2 linked regions of the Oryzias latipes genome follow. The protein of the gene in region 1 interacts with the protein of each later gene in a pairwise test. Links are inferred from orthologs where the notes say so. Each region holds a gene or a part of one and is shown on either strand. Other genes may lie near its edges.

Evidence for each region.
Region 2: the proteins of sat1 (region 1) and translational activator of cytochrome c oxidase 1 interact in binary tests that used the Homo sapiens proteins (3 or more experiments, as listed by UniProt). The two-hybrid records come from large-scale screens. The link is inferred for Oryzias latipes from reciprocal best matches to the Homo sapiens genes SAT1 and TACO1.

Annotation. Positions count from the first base shown.
Region 1 is NC_019878.2:2,835,830-2,840,252, forward strand, and holds sat1 (diamine acetyltransferase 1), read left to right. Parts: upstream 1-1,322; 5' UTR 1,323-1,529; coding exon 1,530-1,592; intron 1,593-2,357; coding exon 2,358-2,409; intron 2,410-2,477; coding exon 2,478-2,558; intron 2,559-2,754; coding exon 2,755-2,856; intron 2,857-2,923; coding exon 2,924-2,964; intron 2,965-3,257; coding exon 3,258-3,434; 3' UTR 3,435-4,186; downstream 4,187-4,423. UniProt on the Homo sapiens protein: Enzyme which catalyzes the acetylation of polyamines. Substrate specificity: norspermidine = spermidine >> spermine > N(1)-acetylspermine. This highly regulated enzyme allows a fine attenuation of the intracellular concentration of polyamines.
Region 2 is NC_019877.2:7,385,588-7,389,919, forward strand, and holds the start of translational activator of cytochrome c oxidase 1, read left to right. Parts: upstream 1-1,284; 5' UTR 1,285-1,374; coding exon 1,375-1,389; intron 1,390-1,474; coding exon 1,475-1,748; intron 1,749-1,822; coding exon 1,823-1,929; intron 1,930-3,160; coding exon 3,161-3,294; intron 3,295-3,814; coding exon 3,815-3,977; intron 3,978-4,236; coding exon 4,237-4,332. UniProt on the Homo sapiens protein: Acts as a translational activator of mitochondrially-encoded cytochrome c oxidase 1.

The sequences.
Region 1 (4,423 bases):
ATGGGTGTGTGATTGTGGCAGCCTGTTGATTGTGGGGGGTTATCGGCATTGTTTGTCGTGTCATTTTGTTTTTAAATTTGATTATATTTTATGCAAAGCACTTTCAGTGACATGAGTTGGAAAAGTGCTATATAAATAAAGGTTGAATTGATTGGATACTGTCCAAAAACATGCTTCATAGGTTAATGTGTGTCTCTGGATTGCCCCTAGGTGTGTGAGTGAGTGAGTGCATGGCCCTGAAACAGACTGGAACTTGTTCAGGGTGTCTCCTGCCTTTAGCCCAACAGTAGCTGGGCTAACTCCAGCTGCACTGTGACCACAAAAGGGATTCAGCTGGTTCTGAAAATTGAGGCACGATTCTTATCCATTACAATGCATCAAAGTATATAACACAATACAGAAACGGCAGGTGGGATACATATGTTACGCAGAAACACAAGGCCAGATATTATCTCTCCAGCTTGACCTGAATCTGCGGCTGGAAATACCTGTATGTCCACCAGAGCAGGATTGTTTACTAGCAAAAATAAAACTTTATATGAATTTTTGTATATTTAAATGGAAAGATATGTAAGTTCCAAACAGTGTACTTTTATTTAACAAGAACTGGGTAAATTAATAAACAATTGAATAACTACATTTTAGAAACAAATCAACTTGAAAATAAGACATCTACTAAAACTCATATATTTTTAAAATGTATAACTTATTTTTAAATATCTACCCAAGTGCATTTGGTCTGTGGTGTGTGGTAATGGCTTGCTGAAGTTTTCTGATAGTACTTTTAGTGTGCTGTTGTTTTCACCACAGTGGTTCACTGCTGGAAGATCTCAGTAGTTTCAACATAAACTTAAAGAACTGAGTCAAACAGACACAATAACTGAGAGGAAATAAAATCAGTTGTATTCTTCCATACATTGTTTTGGCTTGTCGGGCAGCTCTTTACCTGCAGGCCTCTGTTGTTTTCTGACCTAAAAAGACAGTCAGCCCAGCCCCTCCATCACAGACTTGGGAGGTGGAAAATTCCACTGATGTTGATTACAGGAGTCACTGCTGGTTTTGTTCTGACTTTAAACTTTTTCTTGTTGCTGTTTGCTTGATATATGTCCTATTCTATTTATGGATTCTAGAGTAAGTGATTCTTCAAAGAAAATTACTTTAACAGTCTCTTTTCCAGAGCACACATATGTAATGTCGCTGCGTATCAGCCTTTCTGCGGCCGCTGATTGGATGAAAACTGACCGCAGGGTGCCGCTGATTCGCCACAGATGAGGGGGCTGCTGGAACTGGCCAATAGCGTTCGAGCGCGAGCCGGGTGTATAAATAGTGTTGAAACAAAGGGAAGGAGTTAAACGGCAGTGACCCAGCCGAGGGTGAGCGCAGCTGAATGATCTTGTCCCGACAGACGCGTCCGGACCAGAGGCTGACTGTGGGGATAAAGCCACTCTGACGCGAATGAAGAAACTTCTCATCTTCCAGTTCACATACAGAGGACTTTTGACTAAAGGAAAAAAAGGGAAAAGAAGAAAATGGAGTATAAATTACGAAAAGCAGAGCCCAAGGACGTGCCAGACATATTACGACTCGTGAAGGTACGTAGATATAACGTCAACTACTATTAGAAAACAAAACAAAAAAAACCGGTCTGAACTGGACGCGCTTGTTCCGGTTAACGAGCCCTTTCTGCTGACGTCACGTTTCCCGCTTTGGAAACGTGTCGTCGACGGATAAAAAATACGGGAACTTTTTAGGAGAAGTGTGTCTGACAGCTGATGGTGAGACGGGAGGAAGGTCGGCAGGATGTCCGGCCGGCAGCTCAGCCCGGCGGCCTTTGTTTTTCAGCCAGACGGCTGGTGACCGAGTTAACTTCCGCCTCTCCATATATGGCTCTTCCGCCCGGCAGCTTAGCTTCTTATGGAGGCTGACCTCGGAGAAGTGTTATTATATGGTTGTGTAACGGCCGACCTGACACAGATACACACGTTTGACACAGTAACGCAGCTGAGGGGATGTCAGAATTTACAAACACAAGAAAAAAAAAACAACTAAAAACCGGAACAAAGAAGGAAATAAACGGCGCTTTTTGACACAACTTCATAAAAGCGGAAGTTGAAAACTTATCTGCCTAACCCGTTTAAAACTCTGCTGCAGACATAAAATACAGTACAAAGCAGCTGTCTTTAATAATAATCTCCAGCAGAAAACAAACTTTTATTTAGTGTTATTTGTCATTAGACGACGTCTTTGTCATCTGTGGAACATCCTGAGTCATCACTTTTTTTGGCTTCTGTCATGAACTTTTCTCTGGAAAAGTCTGCTCTCAGAATGTTTTTATCAACGCTCTGCTCTCATTCCAGGAGCTTGCTAAATACGAGGAGATGGAGCACCAGGTGGCGCTGACGGAGAAAGGTGAGTGTCCGGCGGCGTCCGCCCGCACGCCGACAGACCGTGTTTGATCATCGCCTGCTTCTGTGCAGATCTCCTGGAGGATGGATTTGGTGAAACGCCGTTTTACCACTGCATCATCGCTGAAATCCAAGGAGAGAGCAGCAGTGAAGGTAGGCGTGTGCCGCTCTGCTCAGCTTCCTGTTTGTTGGCAGGAAGAAGAGCCGCCGCCGGCTGCAGTTTGGGTTTAGTCAGACGTGTCGGCTCACGTGTGCTCTGGCTGGAGGCTCAGAGCAGCTGCAGGTCTGTGAAGGTTTCCTCCCTGCAGAATGGCCGGTGACCGCTGTCCCCCCCCTTGTCCCCATACAGATCCTAAGGTGGGGGGGTTTGCCATGTACTACTTCACCTACGACCCCTGGGTGGGCAAGCAGCTCTACCTGGAGGAGTTCTACGTGATGAACGAGTACAGAGGTGAGAGCAGCTCCTCCTGTCCTCCGGTGGGTCCCGAGCATCCCTGAACTCCTGTTGTCTCTTCCAGGTCTGGGGATGGGCTCGGAGATCCTGCGGCACCTCAGTGACGTGAGTTCGATTCCTGCTGCAGCAGCAACTGTTGATCGTTAACAAAACCTACAGTGTTTTTTAATCGATACCTTTTAGAATAAAAATATCACTTCTTGTAACATTCAAAACAAAATATATAAACATTGTTTTTTCTTATGAAATCCTGTAATGAAAAGACTCAGAACGTCTGTCTGCTCCGTTCCTCCTGTTGACTGCATGATGCTTCTGTGTCTGACTCATGAGCTGAGGCCTCCTCCTCCTCCTCATGTGACCAGCTGCTCTAACGTCTCCTTCTCTTGCTCCTGGTCCAGCTGGCGATGAAGACGCGCTGCACCGGCATGATGTTCGTGGTGGCGGAAAACAACGCCCCGTCCATGCAGTTCTACAAACGCCGCGGCGCGGAGGACCTGTCGCAGGAGGAGGGCTGGAGGCTCTTCAGGTTTGACAAGGACAGCCTCCTGAAGATGGCCACTCCAGCTGAAGAATGACAGGAGGTCCAGCAGGGCGGCGCAGGAGCAGGAGGAGACCCAGGAGTTCCAGCTCCACTCCCCTCTGCGCAGATGAAGCATGCAGATGTTTCGCTGTAATGGTTCTGGTGCAACACCTCTCTCTGATTTCTGATCTGAACTTTCCCACCAATAAAGAAATTCCTGATCTCAGAAGCTCCAGCCTTTCTGCTGTTTGACAGATCCGCTCATGTTCATGCAGCTCTGGACGTCCTCAAACGTGGACCTGCTCATCCGGGTTGAAGATGAGAACCTGAGCTCAGAAGAAGAGCTTTGAGAGGCAAACGGGGTCAGACTTGACCTGAAGGCTGAGTTTTAACATGCAGGCCCGTTAGAGGATTGTGTTAAGAAAATGTATTTCCATACTCATTATTTTCCATGTATTTATTTAAAGTCTTGGAGTTTGTTAGCTTAAATCCTATTATCATACCAAATCATAGTTTGTAGGCATGCTGGCTGGATGGTTTTTATTATTTTTAGTCTGGTGTTAACATGGTCGTTAGTCTTTCAGTTGATGGAACTGTAGACACTATATTCTTTGTTTTTCTTCAATGACCCTGGCATGCACTCGCACTTGTCTGCAGCCGCTCAGCTTCATAACAGCACTCAGCTCCCTGGGAGGTGAAGGCCGCAGACATGCAGCCGTGAGGAAAGAAAGGCGGAACCTCCAAAACGCTTGAATGTAACCGTTGTCTGTCTGCTCCTTGCTTGCAAGTAAAGCTTGAAAAGATAAACTTTTGAGTCTTATTGAATCTTTTTGCATGTCTGGAAAAACTGTCTGTGAGCCAACGGCGTCTTTACAGCCCGCCTTCAGAAATCTTTCCTGACAAGAGGGTTGTGTCTGGAAGGTCATCCGATTTCAAATATGCAAATCAGACCTGTGATGCCCATTTTAGAGGGAGGAAGCTGATTGGCTGAGGCGACCCCTGAAGGGAAAAGCTGACAGGAACAGGAGAAGATGTAAACAAAGT
Region 2 (4,332 bases), on another chromosome or scaffold:
GTTCTCCTTTGATAGAAACAAGATCAAATCAAATAATTTTCAGCTCTCGTTTTTCTAACCAAGATCATTTAAAAGAGCTCGCCATTATCTCCTATTCCACTTGGTACCTATAGAAGAAATTCTACCCAGTCTCTAGAGTGCAGTGTTCGCCCAAATTTACCTGATTATTAGAAATTACATAATTTATAAGAATAAATTATGATTAGAGATTATTTCATAAATCATTCTGACATAAAAATGAATAAATGAACATGACAGCAACAATCTGAAAATTCCCATGTAAATCAAATCACATTTATTTCAGAAAAAATCTGAAAATTGAAATACACTGTTATCAATGTTTTGATCTAACATCCAAAGTCCACTACACAAAAACCTGTAAAAGTCAACTGTCATTCTTTCTGGATGGCATGTTATTTCATTTGTTGATCTATAATCTTGGAAGGACAACTCTAAGAAATTAGGCATGGCTCCTTTAAGCCAGACTGGATATGTTTAAAAATGTAATAACAAGTTTGATTTTCATGTGTATTGTTAATTAAATTGATCAGGACGTAATCACTTTGATTTATGGGAGAAAACAACGTCCATACAGGTTTTTTTCTACACAAAATAAAAATTAAAACAACTATATTTGGTGAACACTCTGACGCCTGAATTTATTTCCGTCTGTGACAAAAATTGCTTCTGATTTTGCTTTTATGTAGAAACTATTTTAGAGACGATGTGGTTTGATGCATACTTGCATCAATAGGCGGCATGGGGGTCAAAGACTCAAACATGTAAACAAGGGCTTTTGGATCAATTTCTGTCAATATGTAAACACATCAGAACAGATTATTGCAGTTATCTAATCCTCTAATCAGAAAAACACCATAAACATTTAATACTTTCCAATTATCTGTAACATCACCCAAGATGCTGATCAACTAAATTTAAGACTGAAACCTGGTGGCATATTGATTAACTCTCTGAAAAAAAAGGAAATTAATTATGACAAAGTAAAGTAACTTATTAAACCAGCCATGGGTCCCAGTGCATATGCTAATAAAATAAAATAAAAATTACCCCAATAATGCATAGACTTACGCTTTAACAAACCAATTTTGATACCATATTGTCCACTTGTATTATTGGTGCAAAGTTCGACTTCTAGACAAAGAAGTGGACCAAAAAAGAAGTCTCCCTTCTAAAAGTAGCCTCCGAGGTCATGACTGGAATGTGCTGCTTGAGCAACACCAAGCAGCTTTTATTTTGAAAGCTCAAACTGTGACGTCACCGAAACCAGGAAGTCCCAAGAGCAGCAAGAGCCGAGTGGTCTTGTTTTGCCTAAACTGTGAGTTTAAAAACTTCGATGCTCCTTTTTTTGATGTCATGAAGGCGCTGGCGGTGAGACGTAAATTCACGGCGCAGCTGCTGAGCGCAGCGCGTGCGCCACGTGCGTTTATCAGCTGTTGTGTGTTTGTGGGTGAAGGGCATGGCGGGGCTGCCGCTGCTGAGGGCTCTCCGGGCTCTGCACCCCCGAGCACTGACCACCACCGCGGTCCGGTCACCGCGCTGGGATCCTCCCCTTCCCTCCAGGCCCCCGTGCGCGTCGTCCTGTCCGGTGAGGTTTCTGCGCATGAGCCCCGCGTCGTGTGCAGGTCACAACAAGTGGTCAAAGGTTAAACACATCAAAGGACCCAAAGATGAAGCGAGGGGACGGATGTTCATGAAGTTTGGCATGATGATAAGAATAGCAGTAAAGGGTGAGTGTAGAGTTTGTTGACACATGACGTCATTATTTCACTTGAACTCATGGATTCTGTCCGTCTGTCTGCAGAAGGAGGATCCAACCCAGACCTGAATGTAAACCTTGCACACATCCTGGAGCAGTGCAGGAGCAAGAACATGCCCAAGGCATCCATAGATGCTGCAGTCAAGAGTGCAGTAAGTTAAAGATTTACAACACAGGTGTGTGTGTGTGGGGGGGGGGGGGGGGAGGGAGTGTTTGCCCCTATCTGATTCTGTGCTTTTGAGTGCAAACCCAAATTTAAAGACAGAAGTAAGAAAAGTTGTTTTTAAAAGTCGTCCACATGGGAGGGACTTCCTACGTCACAGAGAGGTGGACCTGCTGCAGAACCTCAGTGCGCTTCAGCTTGATAACGTGAACATGGAGAAGGTAGACAGAAGCATTCATATCAGAGGAGCCTGAGGAGGACAGGTTTACTACTTAGTGCACTAGATAGTGCATTTCACCTTTTTGTAAAGCTGTCTGAATGTATCGTTCCCAAATCCAGTGCTGTGAAATTTCCCAGACGTCTCTGCAAAAAACCAGTATGTATCAATGCTCACTAAATCGGCAAATACAGACCACAATGCATTGCGTTTGAATGATTTGTCATGGGGGGAAAAATGTATGTATTTTTATTTTAAATATATAAACCATCGAAGTTTGTATCTTCAGAACACAGTTGATTAAGAAAATATTCTTAGCAGAATGTTCATATTTTTTAGATTTTTACTTTGGGAAATATGTAACATCATATATGTCATTAAAGTTTTTTTTAAATAGTAGCTGGAATGGTGTCTGGAGCCGGTTTAGCTCTTGCTGGTCTGCGGCGCCTTCTGTCCGTGAAACAAGGGTTCGAATCCGGGCTGCTCCCTATTCCCTTCTCTGCTTCTGTGCCGTTCCCAAGCCCGGATAAATTGAGAGGGTTGCGTCAGGAAGGGCATCCGGCGTAAAACATTGCCAAGTTAACCATGCGACTCATCCTCGACTGAGAGGTCGTTTCGCTGTGGCGACCCCTGATGGGAAAAGCCGAAAGAGAAAGAAGAGCTGGTATGGTGTCTGAATTAAAATCCAAGGCCTCAGATGGTCCAGCGGTATTTAGTTTTGTTGTAGTTTGGGTGAAGGGAGGAAAATGGAAAAATGGCTTTTTCACATTAAAAATGGAGACACTTTTCACACTCCTGTATGTTTGTGTGGTAGGTGAGCTTTATGTACGGTTTGGGTGCGACATCAGAATAATACGCCATCATTTTCTTCTTCTGAAGATGTTTCTTTGTGATTGGTGGTGAAACAATTCTTACAATGTACTTAATATAAATCCTGTGATGTTAATTCTCACAACCTTCAATAACTTTAATTTGTTAACGTTTTTTCACTTCCTGTCTACAGGAAAAGGCTAAGCCGGCATTGCAGCACATGCTGGAAGCTCGAGGGCCTGGTGGATGTGTGCTGCTCATCGAGGTGCTCACTGACAACAACTCACGCACTCATCAGGAAATCAAGCGGCTGCTGAACAAGAACGGGTCCGAACTAACTTTTACTCACTCGTTCCAGTCTAGTTTTTATGCTTCCATCTATCTCAGTCCTCTACATCTTTGGTCTTCCTCTTGATGTCTTTCCTGCTAGCTCCAATCCCAGCATCCTTTTACCAGCATCATCACCTCTGCTCCTTGTAACCTCACCGTTGCTGGTGAATTTCTAAGAAACAATTTCATGTTTTTTTTCATTGTAAATCTTTAGCACAAACGGCTGATCAATGAACCAGCATCTGTGATTTTAATGAACCCCTTTCTGGAAGAGTTCATTGGTGTTACAAAATGATGATGGCAACCTCAAACTAGCCAAAAAAAGGGGTTTTAAATTAACCCAAGGGGTCACATGACCTCCTTTTTGGTCCATTTACTTCTTTCATTTTTTTTTAGCAAATAAGCTGTTTAACTGAAATCAACCAAAAGCGGTAGATGGATTTATCGTAAAGGCGGGTTTGTGAGCAGAAATGAAGAAAACGAATGAAAGGACTTGTTTTCCCGCTTGTGTCCTCAGGGGGACGCTGTCCGATGGCTGCCGGCATAACTTCAATCGCAGTGGAGTAGTGGTGCTGCCGGGTCACAACATCTCCTCAGAGAAAGCGCTTGAGCTCGCCATCGAATCGGGAGCGGCAGATGTCCAAGAAACTGAGGACGAGGAGGAGAAGCCACTTCTGAAGGTGACAAAACCTGGTCCGGAGGGTTTTTTCTTAGGGTCTTTTGCTGAATCAAAAAAAAGTTTGATTATACTTTCTATATTTAACAATATATCTGGCATATTTTTGCTAAAGTCCTTTAAATGTTGACATGTTTAAAGGACTAACTTAACCTGACAGAGTTAACTAATCCATTTAAAAAACAACTATTTTCTATTATTCCTGTTAAATCAAGTATAATTTGGTGTCAATGGGAGATTTACCCGTTTTCTTCTTCCATCAGTTTATTTGTGATGTGGCGGATCTGAACAAAGTCCGAGTCGCCCTGGAAAGGCAGGAACTGCCGGTCACATCCTCCGGGTTGGAGTTTGTTCCCCGG